Callithrix jacchus: one gene and its partner. The protein of the gene in region 2 interacts with the protein of the main gene of each other region in a biochemical or structural test. Links are inferred from orthologs where the notes say so. Each region holds a gene or a part of one and is shown on either strand. Other genes may lie near its edges.

The links.
Region 1: the proteins of CDC42 (region 2) and PAK2 form a complex in vitro, tested with the Homo sapiens proteins (4 studies listed by BioGRID, with this or other methods). The link is inferred for Callithrix jacchus from reciprocal best matches to the Homo sapiens genes CDC42 and PAK2.

What each region holds. Positions count from the first base shown.
Region 1 is NC_133516.1:25,329,269-25,332,923, forward strand, and holds part of PAK2 (serine/threonine-protein kinase PAK 2), read right to left. Parts: intron 1,939-3,655; coding exon 1,875-1,938; intron 524-1,874; coding exon 475-523; intron 1-474. UniProt on the Homo sapiens protein: Serine/threonine protein kinase that plays a role in a variety of different signaling pathways including cytoskeleton regulation, cell motility, cell cycle progression, apoptosis or proliferation.
Region 2 is NC_133508.1:58,846,117-58,849,771, reverse strand, and holds part of CDC42 (cell division control protein 42 homolog), read right to left. Parts: intron 2,638-3,655; coding exon 2,528-2,637; intron 2,400-2,527; coding exon 2,202-2,399; intron 1-2,201. UniProt on the Homo sapiens protein: Plasma membrane-associated small GTPase which cycles between an active GTP-bound and an inactive GDP-bound state. In active state binds to a variety of effector proteins to regulate cellular responses. Involved in epithelial cell polarization processes.

The DNA.
Region 1 (3,655 bases), on a different chromosome or scaffold from region 2:
TATAATAAAAACAGAATTGAAAAAAATCAGGCCTATGAATTCTCTTAGAAAATTACAAACACCAGCCAGTTAATAATTTAATTTATGGTACATACGTTGTATTACACAATACAATACTATTACTCAGAGCTAGTACTTTTACTTCAAAACTGCCTATGCACAATGCTTTGGAATGTATAGAGCCTAAACATTTTTAGATTTCTCTTGATTAATCCACCCACAGTCAATCCAGCACTAAGAATTAATCCTCTTTTCACTTCAAGCTGATAAAACAATTGTTAAATATTTGCTTGTTTATGACATTAAACTCACAATTCTTTGTTCTCCTTAATGACAGAAGTGCTATAAATACATAGAGCAATTCTTACAACATGTTCAACTTAAGAGATTCCTATTGATTCTTCTCAGCTTTATCTAGTTTCCACCTATATGACAAAATAATGGTAACATCCAGAGGTATGACAAAGTAGCTACCTCCTGTCCCAATGCAACATCAGTAGCAGTGAAAACTGTACCAGAAGCCCTATGGGAGAAAACACACAACCAGATTTAAGGTTTATAAATCACTAGCATTTACAATATCCAAAGACTTTACACTTCAAGCAATTAAAAAAGAATTAAAGAACAGTTGAGACCTAATGTGCTTAAAAGGAGTAAAAGCAAAAACATAAGGAAAGGGATGGGGGGAAAAGAAAGAAGCACTCCTTATGGCCAAAACTTATGTCTGAAATATTTAAGACCTATAAAAATGTAGAGAAAAAAGAGCAAGAAAAAAATATATAACATATACTTAAATACTTCCCTGTTTAAGATACCAAAACTATAAATAATTTGAAGATTCTCATGTGCCCTTTCCAATAGCAGCCTCTTTCCACCCAAAGGTGATCTGTATTTGGTGTTTATCCTGTATTTGACGTTCATCATTTCCATGCATTTCTCCATACTTTTAACTACAAAGGACCCAGGTATGTATCCCTATAAAATATACTTTGCCTAATTTTTAAATGTCATATAGTTTCATTTCACATATTATTCTGCAATTTGCTTTTGTTACTCAACACTGGATTTGTGATGGCCATCCATATGGCAGGGCATTGCTTGTTCATTAATACTCAAAAATATTAGGATAACCTTCAATTCTCCTTAAAACAAAACAAAACAAAAACCAGTGCTGAAATTGAATTTAGCTGTTAGGAAGAAATTCAAGTCTGGTGCTGTGGCTCACACCTGTAATCCTAACACATTGGGAGGCTGAGGTTGCAGTGAGCCAAGATGGTGCCACTGCATTCCGGCCTGGGTGACAGAGTGAGACTCCAATTCAAAAAAGAAAAAAAAAAAGAAAAACTCAAATCGAAGTTTTCAAAAATACCTTCGGCACTCACTCTAAATTCACAGAATGCTTTCCAGAGTTTAATAACATTAAAAATCTAAAGTGTTTATTTGCTTCCAAGCAACAGAAAAACGTTTAGTCAGTACACTTAAAAAATACAAACTACAGAACAAAATCAGACCAGTAGACTCAAAAGTCAATACTCAAGGACATGATTGAAATGCACCTTTTTAATTGCATATAATCCTGCAGTAAATATTCTTACTGTCTTTTAAATATATTTTATGGACAATTCTTCCCTCTAACCAATCCTTTACCATGAATGAGAAACGTCATTTAAGAAAAAAAAAAAGATATACAGTCACTGCTAACAACTAGCACAGTTTTTTAATAGCATCTAGAAATAACTGCATTATTTATTTACACAAATCCCCAAGGGTACTGCTCACAGAATACTATAAGTGCTCAATGTCAGCAGGAAAAAGAAATATCATGTTATAAAGCCAAGAATGAATATTATGGTAACACAGTCACAAATACTTACCCTTGTCCAATTTTTTCATATCTTGTATATTTTTTCTTAGGGTCACCTATGCTCACAATAGTTCCTAGAATAAACAAAAAGCTGGAAGCTCAGTCAAGCATTTTAAGTGTAAATTAATTTTGATATTATTATTCCTTTTGATAAACTCCACTTTTTCATATGTGGTTTTCAAACATAACACTAAGTTTCAAAAATAACATGTTTTAAACACAAAACACTAAAGAAACATAAATACATAATAAAAGTTTAAAAGTATCAGAAACAAGAAGACACATTATTTCCATTAGGTTAGACCTCCTAACTAATTTACTCAATAATGGTCACAGTTTGGAAAGACTGCACCAGTTTGCCAGAGATTAATTAGGTTCTCGGATGTTCAGCTTTAGAATCAGGTAATCTCAAGAAAATTGACAAGCTGGTCACTCTATTTTCCTATAAGACTGAAATATATTAATAGATATATTTTAACATATCTGTTAATAGGTAAGTTTGAAACTACTTAGTATTAGAAATAATAAGGGCTATCTAAACCCTAAATGGTCTTTCTGACTCTTCCAGTATATATATCATCTATCTTTCAATATATTTAGAAAACCACTTACTACCATAAAGATTACTATGCTCTAACATAAACTAATCATATGGTAGTTTTAGGAAAGTTCAAAGTCACAAGAAACAAGTTTTAAAATTAGAAAGCTGAACATAAAATCATAATTTATATTATTACTAGTAGTCAAAATGTAAGAAAAATCACACTAAACTTTCACTTGCTCAAGGTAAAAAGGATAGGACCATATCAAGGAAACTCACATAAATAATTTTATGTAGGTATCCAACCTCAAGTCAATAAGCAAAGGAACAGGATCCACAATAAGAGACTAAGAGCAAAAAGATATCAAAAAGCCTGGGGATGTGATAGCTAAAAGTGACAAATGAATGACGACAATTAGGATTCTAGTTAATCTTTTTTTTTTTTTTTTTTTTTTTTTTTTAAGTAGCAGCTCTCCTACAAGAATTCCTATATGCCCATAGAGTAACAGAGTAGGCTTGGTGTGGTGGCTCACGCTTGAGGTCAGGAGTTTGAGACCAGCCTGGCCAACATGGTGGAACCCCATCTCTACTAAAAATACAAAAACTAGCTGGGTGTGGTGGTGGGCACCTGTAGTCCCAGATACTCAGGAGGCTGAGGCAGGAAAATTGCTTTAACCCAGGAGGCAGAGGTTGCAGTGAGCTGAGATTGCGCCATTGCACTCTAGCCTCGAGACAGAGTGAAACTGTCTCAAAAAAAAAAAAAAAAAGAATAAGAGTAAAAGCCAGGTTTATACTTGAAAGCACTGATAAATCAAAAGCAAATAAACCTAGGGCATATAAATGATTGTTTATTTTTTAGAGACAGGGTCTTACTCTGTCACCCAGGCTGGAGTACGGTGGCACAATCACAGCTTACTACATCCTTGAACTCAAGCAATCCTCCTGCCTCAGGCTCCCTGTTAGCTGGGAATACATACCACCATGCCTGGTTATTATTTTTTTTTTTTTTAAGGTAGAGACAGGGTCTCATTAAGTTGTACAGTTTGGCCTTGAACTCCTGGACTCAAGCTATGCTATCTTGGGCAGCCAGTGTACTGAGATTACAGGTTTGAGCCACTATGCCCAGCCTAAATGCTTAAAACAATCCTTCCATAAAGTATTTTTCCTTGATCCCGCTAGATTAATATTCTTTTAATTATTATTTTTGATTTATTATTATTTTTTGAGACTGAGTCTCACTCTGTCACTCA
Region 2 (3,655 bases):
TACAAAATAAATGAGAATCAGCAATAAATCCTTTAAAAGAAGCAAAGAGGTTAAAAAGCTTTCTTCTTTCTACATCATTCACAAAGTAGAAATGCTATATAAAAGTTAAAATTCCTCTGCAATCCTTTCTACACATCTAGGAACCAACTCTGGTTCCTAGTCAAATATAAAAGGAAGGAGGGAGTACAGAAAGGAAAACATACTTTATAAGGAAAAAAAAGAGGAGGAGGACCATTAGAAACTCGAGTGTATCCATTAACAAGAAGGAATTCCTTTCTCTATAATCTTTGCTTAACCATTATCTGTTTACATTAAGACTTTAGTTTTAGAGGAATCAACAAACAGAATCTGTAATCCTAAAAGTTCTAGCTCCCAAACACAACGACCAGACCCCATTTTATAAATTCTCCTCTTTTGACTTTTCCATACTTCAAACTCTCCTACGAAAAATACACCTGCTAAGACCTTTTAAACTTCACATTCGCTATGAAGTGATTTACTATATACATCTGTTGACGCTAAAAATCTTACATTAAAAGCATCCAATTATCTAAAGCTTTACTAGTGACGTAAAAGTGGATCCACAGGGCCTATGTGTTTTCCCTCAAAGCAACCCCTATCTAGAGAACAGAAGTATGCATCAGAAGCACACAGAATTAATGTCTAACACGGACACAAGTGTTTCACACATGACATTCTGTGCCTCTGTATACACACACACACTTTTCTGGGAATGTTATTAAAACAAAGAAAACAGCACTATCCATTTTTTTAAACTCTCAAAACAGTACTGTGTGTGAGAAGATGTAAAATCTTCTAAACTTTTAAACAGCTGCTTTTATAACAGCACTAAACTGCCCCAAAAACTAGGATTAGAAGATTATATTTAAAGCATCTGGTATTAGGCCCTGACATTATCCTGAGGGATATCCCAGTTAAGCATCCAAGTTTTACTGTAAATATCCAACCAAGTACTAAATTGAAGCCTATTAAATTATACTAGGCCCTATAAACTAAATACCTAGTGTATATGTAATAAGTAATCATATATGTATGCCATTTACCCTCGTATACATGGAGTTAAGAATCCAATAATGTTTTTTAAAAAAAATAAAAATGAACAATTACCTGAAAAAGCAAGCATAATATATAATGAGTTTAATATAATTATTAGAAACCTCCACCCTTCAATCTTGTCCTATTTTAATTAGGCATGTTTGCTCACTGTTCCAACTTCAAAGCACCAGTACTGAACATAAGAATTTTGTGCTAATTATTTCCATAATTTTTTCCTTTGCCCCCAGAACAGTACTCAAAGGACAGAATCGACGATATCATGAAGGCGAAAAAGTTTAAACCATACACATCAGTTACAAGTCCCATTCTAAATACCCTAACATTGCTCCCTATCCTCAAAATCTGAGCTTCCCATCAGACTACTAAAGGAATTCCAATTAAATCACTCAAAAAAGGCCAGAATGAAAGAGAGGTCCACATGAGGAAGGAATACTTCCAAAAACATAGGAATAGAAACACTATATAAAGCATGCTTAAGAACTGTGGCAGAAATAGCCATGGCCACCTTCTTTGACATGGAAGTCTCAATCATTATGACTAATTCCCTATCCTGGTTGAATTACCCAAGAAACAGTATAATATCAATTGTCAGAATCGGCAAGACAAGATGAGACGTATTTAGATGAAAATTTAAGTGCCTAGAAAAAAAAATCATTCACCTCTTCTCTTGCAAATTTGTGCTTATCTGAACCTTTCCTGTAAGGTTTTCTTTTTTTTTTTTTTTTTTTTTTTTTTAATTTTTTATTGGATTTTAGGTTTTGGGGTACATGAGCAGAGCATGTAAGACAGTTGCGTAGGAACACACATGGCAGTGTGCTTTTCTTTCCTTCTCCCCTTCACCCACATTTAGCATTTCTCCCCAGGCTATCCCTTCCTGTAAGGTTTTCGATCAATCATTCAGTACAACATGAGAGCTTACCAACACAAGCAGTTTAGAAACTATATAATTATTCTCCAAAAAACACTGAGGCCTCTAACAAAAAGAGTATACAATATGAAGCTGCTCATATTCTTGCTGGGCATCTTTGGGCACTGCTGATCACTGTTAGAAATAATTCCTGTATCCGAATGCTCTAATAAATGACTAGACCGTAAACACTCATGGGATTTCATGCCATCCTTACCTGTGTGAGTGCAGAACACTCCACATACTTGACAGCCTTCAGGTCACGGGCCAGCTTTTCAGCAGTCTCTGGAGTGATAGGTTTCTGTTTGTTCTTGGCAAGTTTCTCAATAGTAGAGGGGTCATCTCTGAGATCAATTTGGGTCCCAACAAGCAAGAAAGGAGTCTTTGGACAGTGGTGAGTTATCTCAGGCACCCACTAAAAAAAGGTATTTTAAAATACACCTTTGTTAATCCAAAAACCTCTAATGCAGGTCAAACCTCTATTACAGGTCAGTAGAAATTATGGGATGACCTTCTTAGGCCAAGAATATCTGATCAGCTTACCTTTTCTTTCACATTTTCAAATGAAGATGGAGAAACCACTGAAAAACAGACTAGAAATACATCTGTTTGTGGATAACTCAGCGGTCGTAATCTGTCATAATCCTCTTGCCCTAGAAAAAAGAAAAATATTGGACTGAATTCAGCAACTGAATCTTGATGTCCTCAAAGCGTTAAAAGCACACTGGTCATTACTCAAAAACCAACTTACTTATCTAATAAATTACATAGCTCTGTATAAATTACATAGCTCTGTAACACAGTATGTGGGAAATATACTCAATAAGCTAATTCTACATACTTTAAGCACTCAAACAGCAACAAATTTACTATTATGTTATTTGCTTTTATTACTAGTTTGTGGTGTTCAATCTTCGTGTCCATTAGAAACCCAATAATAAATGTAATAATAAACTCTTGCTACAGAAATGGTTAAAAATCAATCCTTGTAATCCCAGCACTTTGGGAGGCCAAGGAAAGTAGATCACCTGAGGTCAGGAGTTTGAGACCCACCTGGCCAACATGGTGAAACCTACTAAAAATACAAAAATTAGCCAGGCATGGTGGCACACGTCTATAATCCTAGCCACTTGGGAGGCTGAGGCAGGAAAATTCCATGAACCCAGAAGGCAGAGGCTGCAGTGAGCCAAGATCGTGTCACTGTATTCCAGCTGAGACAGAGCAAAACTCCATCTCAAAAAAAAAATCCTTGCCAGATATGGCAAAGAAACAATCACAGTGAAATCATCTAAGGAAAGAAAAACCTCAGTGAAACCCAGATGACAAAATCCACTGCCCATCATGACTACAAACACAGGTTCGCATAATGTGTGCATGTAAGACCAGTATCTGAAACTGATAAAGCCTTGGAAAAACTTTTGGAAGGAATTAATGTATACTCAAAATAATAAAAATACTTAGAATTAACTTAATCAGAGGCAAAAGACTTGGACAACAAAAATTTCAAGGCTGCTGAAATAAATTAAAGAAGACATAAATAAATGGAAACACATCCCACATTCATGAATTGGAAGACTTAATACTGTTGACATGTCAATATTATCCAAAGCAACCTAGAGATTCAATGCATCAGAATCCCAAGGGATTCTAAATAACCAAAATAATCACGAG